Linked DNA regions of Oryctolagus cuniculus. The protein of the gene in region 1 interacts with the protein of each later gene in a biochemical or structural test. Links are inferred from orthologs where the notes say so. Each region holds a gene or a part of one and is shown on either strand. Other genes may lie near its edges.

Region 1 (3,665 bases):
CTTTGGAGTACATTTTATGATTTATACTTTATGGTTATAATATGATTACCATAAGGGCAAAAATAAATATGGATGTTGACTGTTAATGTTGTTTTAAGATCACTCTGAGAAATTGTGTTTTGTTAACTAATTGATTGAGTATAAAATTGAAGTGAGGCCTGAAGATCACTACAGAAAACTACATTCATCCTTTTCTGATTTTGATTCTGAACATCTTAAACTACATTTAACTTCAATGTTCACAAAGTGATACCTGTGGTTGAATCATGAACTCCAATTTTTATTTTTTGAAGCTTTCTGATTATTTATGTCTTAAGTTGTTGAGAGAGTGAAACAGTGAAAGGAGCGCTGTCTCCCTTTTAAGTAAAGGAAATAGAATAATGAACTGACAGTTAACTTAACCTTTATTGGTTTTGGCTTTGTGGTGGTGGTGGTATATATTTAAGAATTTAACCTCAAAAAGGCTTTAGTTCTTTTTCTAAGATAAGTTTTAAGTTATTGTTACCCATCTGTGTGTATTTCAGGCTCTCCCTTTGTGAATGCAATTATCCATAAAGGCTTTGATGAAAGGCACGCGTACATAGGTGGCATGTTTGGAGCTGGGATTTATTTTGCTGAAAACTCTTCCAAAAGCAATCAGTATGTATATGGAATTGGAGGAGGTACTGGGTGTCCAGTTCACAAAGACAGATCTTGTTATATTTGCCACAGGTAAGAGAATATTTGTTCTCATTTATTTTGATAAAAATCAGAAAAGAACTAGTTACATATTTGAGAAATTTGGGGACCAGGTAATATTTTGGACAGCTAGTAATCCAAGATACATATATTTTAGGTTGCATTTGGATCTCATTAGCTATAGTAACTAATATTTATTATATGACCTTTATGGAAAACACTTCTTACTTAATGTAATTAACTCACTTAATCATTAGAATACCTAGTGCTTCAAAGGATGCTAAATTGGAGGTGGACAACTGGTGCAGTGGTTAAGGAACTGCTTGGAATGCCCACGTCCCATATGGGAATACCTGGATTAAAGTCCTGACTCCAGTTCTGATGTCAGCTTCCTTGCTCATGTGCACCTCGGGAGGCAGCAGGTGATGACTCAAGTACATGGGTCTCTGCCACCCACTTGGGAGACCCAGATTGAGCTCCTGGCTCCTGACTTCAGCCTGGCCCAGCCCCAGCTGTTGCAGGCATTTAGAGTGTGAACCAGCAAATGAAATATCTCTATTTCTCTACCATTCAAAATGAAATTAATTAAATTTTTTTAAATGCTGAATAAAAAAATAACATTGAGGCCAGCACTGCAGCTCACTAGGCTAATCCTCCGCCTTGCGGCGCCGGCACACCGGGTTCTAGTCCCGGTCAGGGCGCCGGATTCTGTCCCGGTTGCCCCTCTTCCAGGCCAGCTCTCTGCTGTGGCCCGGGAGTGCAGTGGAGGATGGCCCAAGTGCTTGGGCCCTGCACCCCATGGGAGACCAGGAGAAGTACCTGGCTCCTGCCATCAGATCAGCGCGGTGCGGCGGCCATTGGAGGGTGAACCAACGGCAAAGGAAGCCCTTTCTCCCTGTCTCTCTCTCACTATCCACTCTGCTTGTCAAAAAAAAAAAAAAAATTGAGGGGCTGGCACTGTGGAATAGCGGGTAAAGCTGTCATATGTAGCACCGGCATCCCAAATTGGGCACCAGTTTGAGCCCTGACTGCCCCAGTTCTGATCCAGCTCCCTGCTAATGCACCTGAGAAAGCAGCAGCAGATGGCCCAAGTCCTTGGGCCCCTGCACCCATGTGGGAGACCCAGAAGAAGCTCCTGGCTCCTGACTTCACTCTGGCCTAGACCTGGCCACTGTGGCCATTTTGGGAAGTGGACCAGCAAATGGAAGATATTTCTCTCTCTCTCTCTCTCTCTTTCTCTCTCTTTCTCTTTCTCTCTCTCACTCACTCACTCACTCACTCTACCTTTCAAGTAAATTAAATAAATCTTAAAAAAGAAAGAAAGAAAAAGATAATACTGAGCATGAGAGAGATTTTATTGTAGCCCTTGAATGCTATAGGACTGTGAGTTAAGACGTTAGAATTCAGGAGTGGGCATTTGGCCTGGCAGAAGTTAAGACACCAGTTAAGATAAGTACGTTGCACGTCATAGTAACTGGGTTTAGTTCCTGTTCTGGCTCCTTTGTCCATCTTCCCAGCAATGCAGACCCTGGGAGGCAGTGGTGATGGCTCATGTTAGTGGGTTCGTTACATCCATATGGGAGTCCCAGATTGAGTTCCTGCCTGAGTCCCCAGGCCCAAGTCCCAGCTGGTACAGGCCTTTGGAGAATAAATCAGTATATGGGATTCTCTTGCTCTCTCTTACATATATAAACATAATTATATTTTATCTATCTATATGTATGTATGTATTAAATGTAATTTTAAAGCAAGAGACAAGTGAAATCTCCCCTCTGCTGGTTCATCCCCTAAATGCCCACAACAACCAAGGCTGAAGCAGGCCAAAGCCAGGGATCAGGTACTCAGTCTAGATGTCCCATATGGATGGTAGGAACCAACCACTTGAGCCTCCCAGGTGGGCGTTTTCAAGAAATTGGTTCTGGAGCTGAGCTAGGACTCAGACCCAAGCACTCCAGTATGGCATGTAGGCATTCCAAGTAGCATCTTAACCACTGTGCCAAAAGCCTGCCCCTGCCCCTCAAGTATATTTTGAAGATGGAAGCAACTTAGTTGGATAAATGTCCAGTTTTGCAAGCCACCACTTAGAAACCCCTTGAATTGTTCCTTGTTCCCTCTTGGCCTATGATTTTTATGTTTTTGCTGGAATTACAAATAAGATCTTAAAAGTCTGAATCTCTATAATGTCATTACATTTTTCAGGTTTTGTAGTTAAAAGATTAAATCAATAAGGGTAGTAGAAGACATTCTTACAAAGTTCTTTTAAGAGTAGAAAGGTATAAATAATTATAAATGTTACATATGAATACATTGTAAAGCTATGAGTATACACAAATAATAACTCGTATTTACATGTCAGATTTGTCTTCAAGCTGATCTTTTCCTTTCTCTACCATAGACAGCTGCTCTTTTGCCGAGTAACCTTGGGAAAGTCTTTCCTGCAGTTTAGTGCAATGAAAATGGCACATTCTCCTCCAGGTCACCACTCAGTCACTGGTCGACCCAGTGTCAATGGCCTAGCCTTAGCCGAATATGTTATTTACAGAGGAGAGCAGGTAACACTTTTTTTTTTTTTTTTTTTTTGCCTGTATTTAAAAATAGTATCCGGCCACATTTTAAATTCTTTCTAATCTCTTAAATTGGCAAAGTACATTGCCTTAAGACCTGCATTTTTTGAATGTTTATGTGGAAATAATTTCAGACTTGAAAAGTTTTGAAAATAGTAGAGAATTCCTTTTTGCCCTTTACCTAATTTTCCAAATCTTAATATTTTATTCTCTCCCTTTCCTCTGTCATCCTCTCTCACTCACACCCTCCTTCTCCATGTGTATATATGAGCATATTATTTTTTGTGAACTGTTTGAGAGTAAGTTACAGGCATGTCTCTTTGTCCTTAAATTGTACTTGAGTTGAGTGTGTATTTCCTAAAAACAAGAACATCTAAAATTACCAAAATCAGAAAAATACCTTTGATATTACTGTATGTATTC
Region 2 (3,680 bases), on another chromosome or scaffold:
GTCTCTTTGTCAGATGTGTGTTTTCTTGCTACGTGGATAGGATGGTATAGCATAGTAGGTGAGAACAGTTAACAATCAGATGCCAACCTTTAGTACTTGTTAGCTGCCTAACTGGAGGACAGTTACATAACTTCAGTTTCTTTGTCTGTAAAAAGGAAATGGGTCATAAACGCCTAGTCCATAGTATTGTCAGGGATTTAGAACAATATCTAGTACATAGTATCAATATAATACCAACTGGTTATATTAATTACCAGTTACTAATATTAATTAATAAGAGTGTGTTCTTTTTAAAAAATTATTTGAGAGACAGAAAGCTCCCCTCTGCCAGTTTGCTCCCCAAATGACTGCAACAGTTCAGGCTGGGCCAGCACTGAAGCCAGAAGCCAGAACACAATCCAGGTCTCCCTCGTAGGTGTCAAGGACCCAATCACTTGAGCCATCACTGCCGCCTGCCAGCATCTGTGTTGTCAGGAAACGCAGGTTAAGAGCGACACATAAAATCCAGGTGCTGCTGTGGGTCACGATGTCTTCACTGCTAGAGTCAGCGCCTGCCCCAGGAAGAGCACCTTCTGAAGTGTATCTTCATTGTCAGATCATTCAAACAGCTCAGCTTTTTAGGAGTATTAACGTAATACACCTGCCTGCTCAAATCAAATAAGGTGTTTACCAAAAAAAAAAAGTCTCCAGAATGGTAATAAATTCCATCAACATTTTTTAAAAAGATTTATTTATTTATTTGAGAGGCAGAGGCAGAGAGAGAGAGAAGTCTTCCACCTACTGGTTCACTCCCCAAATGGCTGCAATGGCTAGAACTGTGCTGATTCGAAGCCAGGAGTCAGGAGCTTCTTCTGGGTCACCCACATGGGTGCAGGGGCCCAAGGACTTGAGCCATCTTCTACTGCTTTTCCAGACCCTAGCAATGAGCTGGAATTGGAGCAGCTGGGACTCAAATCGGCACCCATATGGGATGCCAGCACTGCAGGCGGCAGCTTTACCTGTTACACTACAGCGCCGGCCCTTCTGTCTATTTTTTCCCCAAATATCCTTGGATCAAAAGCTGTTGTTGTTTGTCAGCATTTGTAAACACCTTTCATTAAAATAAAAAAATCACCAGTGAAGAGTCTTAGACTACTCAACATTTACTTTACTTGAATTACTCTAGAACTTTAATCGGGAAACCAATCCTAACTTAGGTTCAGGTGTTGCTCTTTGTGAATAATTGTTTTGGAGGCTGGATCTGTTTTGCTCTTCAGGTTGATGAAGACTAGCCTTGATGGAGATATCATCCGAACACAAAAGCTGTCGTTTATCATCCGAACAGTGGGCCGGCATTTTCCTGGACACTTGTTGGCGTGGGATTTTGTCAAAGAGAACTGGAATGAGCTTGTACAGAAGTAAGTTTGTCAGCGAATTACTGACGTTCAGCGTTCTCCAGTGGTGTTCCTAGAAGTAGTTCCCAGTGTTGTGTTGGTTCGTGGGAGTTAGGACTTGCTGTGACAGACAGATGCTTCTGTGACTGTTTAACTGAAACATCCAGAAGTGTTCACGTTTGTCAACACAGTCCCATTGTGTGAGTCATGTGACCCTAGTGTTGTGCGAAAGTCCTGGTCCTGCCCAGCCACGGCTGATGCCGGGTCCGCTCAGCTCAGTGTGGCTACAGGCCCTTGTGGGTTGAAAATACCTCATTTCCTAGGCGTCAGTTAAGAGCTCACACCCAGCTAGACAGCACATGTCAGTTTCTTCCTTTGTGTCTTTTAAAGCGACAGTAGGCCAGCGCCGCGGCTCACTAGGCTAATCCTCCACCTAACGGTGCCGGCACACTGGGTTCTAGTCCCGGTCGGGGCGCCGGATTCTTTCCCGGTTGCCCCTCTTCCAGGCCTGCTCTCTGCTGTGGCCCAGGAGTGCAGTGGAGGATGGCCCGAGTCCTTGGGCCCTGCACCCCATGGGAGACCAGGATAAGCACCTGGCTCCTGCCTTCAGATCAGCGCGGTGCGCAGGCTGCAGCGCACCAGCCGAGGCAGCCATTGGAGGGTGAACCAACAGCAAAAAAGGAAGACCTTTCTCTCTGTCTCTCTCTCTCACTATCCACTCTGTCTGTCAATAAATAAATAAATAAATAAAGCCACAGTGACATTTCTGGGAGTGTGATCTGATCTGTCAGGAGATGAAATGGATTAGTGACTTCTCTGGATATCCTGAGCTCCTCCCTTTTTCTGCCCACCACTGACTCCCTGGACTGCAGTCCCAGGATAGGCTCCATTCTCTGGCAGGAAGGCATCTCCTTTGTGCTTTGCTTGCCCAGCAACTGTCTCAATTTTTTAACTCTTGTCTTTGTGTTTCTTCAGGTTCCACCTGGGCTCCTATACCATACAAAGTATTGTTGCAGGATCAACTCACCTGTTTTCAACAAAGGCCCATTTGTCTGAGGTGGGTTCTATAAAATGTGTGGAGGGGGCTGGGTAGCCATGTCCCCCAGGCTGCGCAGTTTGTTTGAGAGGGTGACCTTTAGTGGGAATTCCTGCCTTCTCTGCTGGCCTCATCAGGGTTAATGATTCTGCACCTAGATTACTTCTACATGGTAAGGAGGAAAACTTGGATGCTGCTCTCAGCAATATAAATAATTTAAGTGGTCATAAAACTGTTTTTGGAGAATCCAATTGAAAGGTGAATTTATAGAGCCAAGCCTAACTTCAGACTCTATTTATTGTTACTAGATAGGTTTTTCTTATTATTTATTTGAAAGAGAGAGAGAGAAGCTTTCATTTGGTGATTCACTCTCTAAACAGCTTGAACGGCCAGAGCTGGGCCAGGCCAAAGCCAGGAGCCAAGAACTCATTCCCACGTGAGTGACAGGGACCCAGGTGCTTGATCTCGCCCCTGCCGCCTCTCAGGTTCCTCATAAGCAGGAAGCTGGAATCAGAAGTGGAACCACAGCCCAAACCCAGGCACTCCAGTATAGGATGCAGGCATCCCGAGTAGCGTCTTAACTGCTGCACCAAATGCCTGCCCCCCCCCTTTTTCTATTTTAAGTTAGAAAAATTCATTCTTGTGCAGATAAGGAGAATTCAGAATTCCGTGTGGGTCCTTGAGGTAACAAGTTTCTTTCTGCTGTTTTCAAGATACCAGCATAGCCATCACTAACTTGACGCTTGCTTGAAAAGGACAATAAACCTCTTAAATTCTCTTCCACGTCTCTGTGGAACTTACAGGTGCAGGCATTCTTTGAGAATCAGTCGGAGGCAACCTTCCAGCTCCGTTGTGTCCGGGAGGCTTTGGAGATCATCCAGTTGAACATCCAGTGGGTGAAGAAGAACCTCCAGACTCTGCGGTGGTGGCTGTAGCATGCGCAGCCCCTCATTTTGTCACCCGTTTGGAGAGCTTGTGAACTTGGGCTCTGCTGCTTTTGCAAAAGCCACGGTGAAGCCAGGCCCGCTGCCAAGTTGTTTGCACTGTTAGGAGTTGTAGTTAGCTCAGGGCCCGACTGTGTTTCTCATCTGTCTTTTCTAAAGTGTCTTTGGGCAGTGTGTAGTTATTTATTACAAATGTACGTTCACCTATATGCCAACTGTCTACAAAAATGATGAGTAATTTTTCTACTTTGAAGATACACAAATGAGAGGGGAAACATCAGTTTGGAAATTCTGTTCTGTGTCTCAGTATCCAGAAAGGTTCTGACG

What was found. The genes of interacting proteins can lie anywhere in the genome.
Region 2: the proteins of TNKS2 (region 1) and LNPEP form a complex in vitro, tested with the Homo sapiens proteins (4 studies listed by BioGRID and IntAct, with this or other methods). The link is inferred for Oryctolagus cuniculus from reciprocal best matches to the Homo sapiens genes TNKS2 and LNPEP.

Annotation. Positions count from the first base shown.
Region 1 is NC_091446.1:38,638,925-38,642,589, reverse strand, and holds part of TNKS2 (poly [ADP-ribose] polymerase tankyrase-2), read left to right. Parts: intron 1-524; coding exon 525-711; intron 712-3,073; coding exon 3,074-3,230; intron 3,231-3,665. UniProt on the Homo sapiens protein: Poly-ADP-ribosyltransferase involved in various processes such as Wnt signaling pathway, telomere length and vesicle trafficking.
Region 2 is NC_091445.1:19,698,697-19,702,376, forward strand, and holds part of LNPEP (leucyl-cystinyl aminopeptidase), read left to right. Parts: intron 1-1,256; coding exon 1,257-1,397; intron 1,398-2,348; coding exon 2,349-2,430; intron 2,431-3,212; coding exon 3,213-3,344; 3' UTR 3,345-3,680. UniProt on the Homo sapiens protein: Release of an N-terminal amino acid, cleaves before cysteine, leucine as well as other amino acids. Degrades peptide hormones such as oxytocin, vasopressin and angiotensin III, and plays a role in maintaining homeostasis during pregnancy.